Mus musculus: one gene and its partner. The protein of the gene in region 1 purifies or fractionates together with the protein of each later gene. This does not show direct contact. Links are inferred from orthologs where the notes say so. Each region holds a gene or a part of one and is shown on either strand. Other genes may lie near its edges.

Region 1 (4,342 bases):
ACAGGTGTCTAGTTCTACAGTTATCCCCTATTTCCTCCACCAAAGGGTAAAAAGCCCTAAAGACAAGGAGGAGACAGGGCCCTCCTTAAGACAGCAAACACATCAGAAGCAGAGAGAAGATTTGAACCCATGTCTTTCCTCCATTCTTTGCCTAATACATTCTCACAAACTGCTCTGTGGGGGTGGCTTCTCATAGCAACAGCTCTTTGGGTGGACTGAGAGATTGCCATTGTTTGCCATTCCCACACATCTCAGAATCTGGCTCTTTACAGACTAGGGAAACAAAGCAAGAGTAGGAAGCCAACAGCAGGGTTGACCTTAGCCTGAAGGGCAAGTGTCTGCTCCTACACAAGGAGAGCAGGGCGAGGGGCATATCAGAGGGCTTGGGTCAGCTCTGCCTTACTGGCCTCAAACCTCCTGCCCTACCCTTGTGCTTCAGTAAACCAGAGGGTAGAGCAGAGTACAAGAAGAAATCAATGCTTTCCTGGCCTGAGGGAGAAAGGAGCCTGACTGGAGATCTTCCTCCTCTACTGGTACACTGTTCATGGGAAACCTAGACCCCAGGCTCGATGGGCCAAAAGTTAAAAGACGAAATTAGAAGTTAAATGTACTCCCTCAAAGTTTATAAAGAATGAGAGTCAGAGGTCAGGCTGGCCTCCGGATTCCCTGTATGAGAAGCAAGCCCATGGGCGTTTGAAACTTTTCTCATTTCAATGACACAAAGTGTGCCTAAAGTATCTGGCACAAAGCATGTCTTCATGATGAATGTGGCCAGATGATCTGGGCTCCAATCCTGACTTGACTTTCCTGAGTGACCTTGGGCAACTGCTTAACCTCTTCTTACCTCATTCTTTCATCTGTGAAATACCATGTATCAAGCCAAGCATGGAGGAGACATCACATAGCAGCCGTGGTACAGCTGGATTGTAGAGCGCTCTCCTAGCGTGTGAGAGGGTTCAATCTCAGGACCTCCGAGAAGAATGGCTGGGGAGAGGTGGCTCAGCAGTCAAGAGCACTTGTTCTCACAGAGCACCCAGGTTAGGTTCCCAGCACCCACATAGTACCTTACAACCATCCATAACTCCAGTTCCAATTGATTGGATGCTCTTTCTGACATCCATGGGCAACAGGTATGCATGTGATACACACATACACACACCAGCAAAATACTCCTACACATAAAGTTTCTTAAAGTTCTTTAAAAAGAAAAACACCTTGTACCATCCTGGATGTTAACACATGGCTTATATTCTAAGTATAATTTAATTTCCAGCAGGGAATGGTAGCACATGCCCATAATTCCAGCACTCAAGAGCCTGAGATAAGAGGAATATGAGTTTGGGGCCAGCCTGAGCTACACAGTAAGCCCACATCTCAAAAATAAAACAAAACAAAACACCTTAGTTTTCAAAGGACAAACTAGGTAAACTCTCTCTATGCCTTGAGCAATTTGTACAAAGAGACAAACCAGACCTCTTTAAGAGGAGAATACAGCCACAGCCCTGCTCAGCAGAATCTGGCACTCAGATACAACCTTCAAAGCCAAATGCACACTTGGCATTCAGATCCTGCCCTCAGCGATCCTCTCTGACCACTCAGCTCCGAAGGTTCTCTTAGCCTCTCTTACCATAGAATGAAAGCCCTGGACCTGCCTTCAAGGTCCCATGTCCTTCCTTCCACCCTTCCAGATCTGCTTGCCACAGGTTGTGCACACAGTGGGGCCCCAGGAAGACTTGTTAAGCCAGTGTGGGCTTCTGGTTCAGAGCCAGTGAGTAGCTGGCAGTTCCTCAGTTCTCCAGAACTGGCTGCAAAGTGGTGGCAGGTGTAATTCATCTCTTTCACCGGAACCAGGGCCCCAGGAGAGACCGCTGGGACCCGGCTGCCCATTTGGCTCAGAAACCAGACCAACAGCTACCAGAGAAGGGGGTGGGGAGGTGTGGCTGTTTCCTCCCCCTTTCTGCAAGAAGGTACAGAGACCCTGAGACTCTGTCTGAGACTGAGCCCCAGGTGAAGGACCAACTCGTACTGTGGTGCTACTGTGCCTCTATTAAGGTCTTCGAACGTCTAATACCGTGATGGTGGGATGCTTAGGAAAAGGACAGGTTTTTAGTGTGCCCCACCAGTGCAGGCAGTTTCCAGCAGGTATTACCTCACCAAAGCTCTTTTTTTTTTTTTTTCTGAATCCTGACACGAACACCCTAGGGCCTTAAGAACAAAACCTCTTCCCCTGTTTGCCAGAGAAGGGGGCAGAAAACGGTTGCCTTATAGTGGAGTCTGAAGAAATTGGTGGCCCCGGATGCCGATGGGAAGAATTTGCGCTGTACTAAGTTTTTTTTGTGTGCTACTTAGCCCTCGCCTCTCTCCTTCCGATTATTGGGCAGGGAAAACTTCCAAGAGATGTGCCTCCTACTCTCAGTTCTCAGGACCTATCAACCCTTCATTCACCCTTGGGAGACAAATAATGAGACGTCACTTCACTCTGCTTTCAACCCAGGATGTATGGATTGATCTTGGAAGGACCCTCTTCTCCAGCCCAACTCCGGGAACCTGCCCCTGCCCCTACAAATATCCCGTTCCCCGTGGCCTGTAGCACCCACACTCACCAGCTCCATCCTCAGCGCCATGATCTTGTCCCCTAGGCCGTGGCCGGTGCTGGGCGCCCCCGGGAGCAGCACGTCCCCAGAGGTTCCCAGCTCGCACTCGCCTCGAAGCCCGCGGAGCAGTCCTTCAGGGATCTTCCTGCCCACCTTGCCCTCCACGTCTCGCAAGTCCGGCGTCTGGGACTCCGCGGTCCCCTCCATGTGGGCCCAAGCCAGAACAGGACTGGGCGACCAGGGTCCGGTTCCCAAGGGTCCTCCCTTCTCTGCTACGAACGCGGAGCGAAACCCGTGGATCCCCGCCCGCCCCGCGCGGGGGGTGGGGTGGGGGAACAGGAGGAGGGCGCCGTAACGCTCAGAAAAGCCGCGCAGTTGGGGGAGCGAGGTACCGAGTGGTATGCACACAACTTCTAGCCCTGGAGGCGTTCGACTAGGTGATCCTGGATTTGGAACTGAAGACCTCAAAGAAAGCTCAGTGCCTTCTCCCTGTGTTGGCACCAACTAGACACGCAGCAGGAAGCTAATAAATATTTTCTGGATGAAAAGTAGCCCCAATCGAGGTAACACGGCTGCAGAGGTTTTGGAAGGCTTTCTGCTCAGGAGCTGTGCCTGTTACAGGGGCTAGAATACAGCCACTCAGTTCACAGACACCTCCCAGCATCTAGAAATCAGCTGAAAGAGTAATAGAAGGGCAATCCCCCTGGCCAGTGAGAAACAACCATTATTAAAATTGAAGGAATCCACAAATCTTGATGTTCATCTTACATGGGCTAACAAAAGAGGTGCTTCCTAAGACTGACTGTAAATATGGGTACTCTGAAAACCCTGGCAAGTTAGAGCCTGAGGTCCTGCATTGGCTTTTGTTTTGTTTTACCAAGATAGGGTTTTTCTGTGTAGCCCTAGAACCCACTGTAGACCAGGCTGTCCTGGAACTAAGAGATCCTCCTGCCTCTACTGGGGTTAAAGGCAGGTGCCACCACAGTCTGGCTTTTCTTTTTTTACAGAGAGGGTCTCACTGTGTGGTCCATAGCCTAGAACTTGCTATGTAGAGTGGACCGGCTTTGAACTCACAGAAATCCACCTGCCACTGCCTTACCAGGAATTAAAATCTTTTTTAAAGATTAATTTTAAAGATAATTTTCTATCTTAATTACAAGTATTTTAAAAGTATGTTCATGTAGGGATATGTACACATGAGTACAGGTGTCTAGAGGCCACAGAAGGGCAACAGATCCCTAGAAGCTGGACTTAGAGTTGTGAACTATGTAACATGGGTGCTAGGACTGAACTCGGGTCCTCTCTAAGAGTCGTATGTGCTCTTACCTGCTGAGCCATCTCTAGCCCCAGCCCCAGCCCCAGCCCCAGCCCCAGACCTGAGAGTCTGCATTTTTTTTAAAGATTTATTTATTTATTATATGTGTGTATGCTGTAGCTGTCTTCAGACACTCCAGAAGAGGGAGGGCATCAGATTTTTGTTACGGATGGTTGTGAGCCACCATGTGGTTGCTGGGATTTGAACTCGGGACCTTTGGAAGAGCTGATGGTGCTCTTAACCGCTGAGCTATCTCATCAGCCTGAGTCTGCATTTCTAAGAAGCTATAGGGGGATAGCCATGCTACAGTTCTGAGAACCACACTAAGTGACACGGTTATGTTTCTAAGCTGTTTGGACTTAATTCTACAGGTAAAGAAGGGCCAAGAAAGAGCCGGGCATGGTGGCACGCCTTTAATCCCAGCACTTGGGAG
Region 2 (3,807 bases), on another chromosome or scaffold:
AGCGGGCTGCTGTTTTCACCTGGGCATCACATGCTTACCGTTCTCGCTTTGACTTTTCTAACTTGTCTTTCAGCATCAGGACCTCTTTCTGCAGGGCCAACTGGTGGCTTTCGGAGTCGTGGACTTCCTTCTTCACGTTCTTTACTTCTAGCACGTGGGAGGCCTCTCGGCGCACCAGCTCCTCCTCGTAGAACAAGACTTTCTTCTCGAGCTCCGACCTGATTTTGGAGATCTCCTGCTGATGTTCCGACGCGGCCCCTGGCCCCCGGCCTCCTTGCTTTACCTTCAGAGGAAGGTTGAAATGACAGCCTCGGTGTCAAGGCCACGATGTCTCTTCTTCTTCTACTACTAGCTGGCATCTAGGACTGTACCAGGCAGAGCAGCCACCACCCATTCACCTACCAACACTGAGTGCTGACTGCTTGTCACAAATCTCCCAGTGACTGGGGTGACACTAAGGTCCCTGTTCTCAGGAGCAGGAGGAGGTGACAGAAACCCACTAAGTGAGGGAAGAGGGAACGTGGTGGGACAGAGGATGTGTGGTGCCATCTTGGCCTTGGAGGAGCCTAAGCACTGCGTGCTGGGGGTGGAAGTTTGAGCCGGGTCTACGAGGAAGGCTGACATGGCTGAGGAAGGCTGTGGAGCTGACTCAGCTTGAGCAGCCACTCTGCAGACCAGGTCCAGAGGGTACCGAGGAAGGAGCTGGATGCCCCTGATACTTCTGTTATACTCCCTGGTGGCTGTATGTGAGGAATGCGCTACAGACAGGTAAAGAGCCGGCAGAGAGTCCCAGGAAGCAGTCTAGGAGATGGGGTTGCCAAGAGCTGGATCCGACTGGATCCGATGGTAGCGAAGAGGACAGAGGAATAAATGTCTTGGGCTTCAAGGAGAGAGTTGCCATGATAACTATGAGGCCCCAGCAGCCCCTTCAGTCCAGCTCACCCATCCCATACCACACTACACTGAGAGCGGATGAAAGCAGCTGGTGGCCCTCACTCATGACTGTTCCTTCTCTTGGACTTCCTACTGCCCTCGTACCCCATCAGTTGGTCCTAGTGTGGAGCAGCTTGTCTCTGCAGCATCAACAAAGGACATGGACCTGACACGGCTTTTCCAGAGCTGAGCATGCCCAAGTGCCTATACTTGATCAGGATCAGAAGGAGGCAACATCTGCTAACTTGGCAATACTGACCACAAACACCTGATACTTCCACACAACAGAGAAATGAATGTGGCTTTTATAATGAAGCTGTTAGAAAGGCAGTGGCCACCCCCTACACTTCCTCCCATCCTGTGACTTCCTGGAAGACGCTTGGGAGACACGGGTCCAACCATGCTTGATAGCCAGCACCGCGGCCACGTGCATGCGCACACGGGGAAGCCTTACCTTGAGGGCCTCGAGCTCGCGCTCCATCTGCTTACAGAAGCTCTCGCTGTGTTCTCGGAGCTTCCGCTCCTTAGAGGCCTCGGCAGCTGCGTCCTCAAGCCGAGCTTCCAGCTAGGGAAAGCAGATCTGCTTTTAGTAAAACAGAACACGGCCCGAGAGTCTCGGTACAGATTTCCCTTTGCCAGATTCGCCATGAGCTGAAGGCTGAGGGACACTTTAGCTGCAATGGCTGGCTACGACCACTAGCAATCAAACAAGCCTGCGTTCTAGTTAAATAGATAATCTGAGGTTTAAATTCAAGGAAAGGTCCCAATTTGTAGAAACAACTCTGACATGTGAAGGTGTAATTAAAAAAATTATTACACTTACAATTTAGTTTTTAAATGAAAAATGCAAACATCGGCTAAAGGAGAGAAAACCGCACACACCCATGATCCAGCTTTGACAGGTGACTATTAGCTAGAGACCAAGCTTGCTTTGCCTGTGCCCACATTCTCTGGCTGCTTTAAAACAAAGCTCAGGGTCCCCATCACTTCATCCTCAATTCTCAGGGGTTTCACTGACCTAAGCTGTGAGCCCACTGATACCACCACAAGTCCATCTGGGTTAGAAAATCAACCAAGAACACGGTCAGGTGTTTAGGGACGAACACAGAGCCTAGACATGAAGAGTGCTCAGCACTGCAGGCTCTTGAGGTTCACGATCCATCAAGTGCACTTAGCAGGACTTAAAGCCACGTGTTGCTTAGTCTACCGGCTGCTCCTAGGAGGGCTTGGAAGCCGTCCAGGGCAGGGGCGTTCCAGGCAGGACTGACGTCTGCACCCAAGTCCCAGTTAGTCAAGTGCTAGAAGGCACTGTCCCCAAGCCTGCTGACTTGATTCTGACCCCGGGGAACCCAGGCAGTGGAGGAGGAGGCTGGCTCCTGCCGTTGTCCCGTGCCCACATGTTCATCAGCATACGTGCATCCTCACGGGAAGGGAAGCTACCTCTTTCCTGGACTTCTCAGACTTGCGGAGGTCCTGCCGCATGGAGTCGATCTTCTGCATGGCCACCTCCATCTCCTCCTCCTTGTCCCGGAGCTGACGGGACACCTTCTGCTTCAGCGACCTGAGCTCCGACATGCGCTCATTGAGCTCTGAGAACTCCTGCAGGGCCCGTTTTCGCTGCTGATGCGCGTCTTTAAGTTCTTTGGTCTGGGATTTCAATCGCTCTGAAGCCTCAACCAATTGCTGAAGGAAAAGAGTTCTCGGTTTTACATTTCCCTAACAAAGACTCTGAAACCCAGGAACTGTGTCTTGTCATACGTAAGTTAAGAGCGATTCAAATGCTGGCCAGAAATGACCAGAAATGGCCATGGGTTTGCAGAGTGCTCCCGGGAACAGGGTGCGAATTAGGTGCTCAGCACCACGTGAGCCAATCCTCCTCACAGTAGGTCTCGGCAGCAGAGTCCCCTCACACATACACAGTTCCCTCACTCAGACAGCCTGCGCTACCTTGTGCAATTCTTCCTTCTCCTGCCGGGCCAGGCGGTACTGCTTCTCGAGGCCCTTCAGCCGGTGTGTGGAGTCCTCATGCTCCTGGCGAAGTGTCACTGTGTCCTCCAGCTGGCGTTCGAGCCTGTTTGAATCTGGACAGAAGAGAGTTGGATTGTGTTCCTGTGCGTACAGTGACTTGGTGTTAGCTGATTTACTGAGTTGGAGTTACCTCGGGATTCATAGGAAGCAGTCTTCTTCACTAGTTTTCATGTATTTAGTGTGTGTGTGTGTCTGTCTGTCTGTCCCCATGTGTATGCTACAGTGAGGGTGTGAAAGTCAGAGGCTGACTCGTGGGCAGCAGGGACTGGACGCTGTCAGATTTGGTGGCAAGCACCCACGGCACCATCTCGCCAGCCTCGCGATGTCTTCCCTCAGAGGCCTTTGCTCCCCTGCACATGGCGTCCGGAGTTGCCGCTCCCTGCCAGCTCCCCGAGGGCTAGCCTAACTGCTTGTTATACTCTGCTTCTGTTTTATTCTGGAGACCTCCGCTCACAGACAGACCTCCCTCTGGTGCCTGTGCTCATTTGCCTCAGGCCCTCTGACATCCAGCAAAGTGCTGGCCTCTGTCCCAGTGGAAGGCGGTACTTTGTTTAGTGAATAATCGACTCAGCCCTAACCTTTTTAAAAATCAGGATAGTGGGGCCTAATCAGAAACGGAGCAGACAGACTCCAAATCTAACCTGGAGACAGAGGCTGACCGAGGAGCCTACCCACATGTGGCTATGGTATATGGCTCAGGAGTGATCGGGGTCCTTAGAAGTTTCCATGACCACAAACTATAAATACGATCGGAAGGTGCTGGAGAAATGGCTCAGCAGTTAAAAGTCCTTGTTCTTGCAGAGGACCTGGGTTCAGTTCTGGTTCCAAGCACCCGCTTGGTGGCTC

Evidence for each region.
Region 2: the proteins of Lurap1 (region 1) and Cdc42bpb purify together in Homo sapiens (co-immunoprecipitation; 3 studies listed by BioGRID and IntAct, with this or other methods). This does not show direct contact. The link is inferred for Mus musculus from reciprocal best matches to the Homo sapiens genes LURAP1 and CDC42BPB.

Annotation. Positions count from the first base shown.
Region 1 is NC_000070.6:116,141,694-116,146,035, forward strand, and holds the start of Lurap1 (leucine rich adaptor protein 1), read right to left. Parts: upstream 2,924-4,342; 5' UTR 2,802-2,923; coding exon 2,604-2,801; intron 1-2,603. UniProt on the Homo sapiens protein: Acts as an activator of the canonical NF-kappa-B pathway and drive the production of pro-inflammatory cytokines. Promotes the antigen (Ag)-presenting and priming function of dendritic cells via the canonical NF-kappa-B pathway.
Region 2 is NC_000078.6:111,318,591-111,322,397, forward strand, and holds part of Cdc42bpb (serine/threonine-protein kinase MRCK beta), read right to left. Parts: intron 3,015-3,807; coding exon 2,881-3,014; intron 2,617-2,880; coding exon 2,374-2,616; intron 1,499-2,373; coding exon 1,388-1,498; intron 284-1,387; coding exon 39-283; intron 1-38. UniProt on the Homo sapiens protein: Serine/threonine-protein kinase which is an important downstream effector of CDC42 and plays a role in the regulation of cytoskeleton reorganization and cell migration. Regulates actin cytoskeletal reorganization via phosphorylation of PPP1R12C and MYL9/MLC2.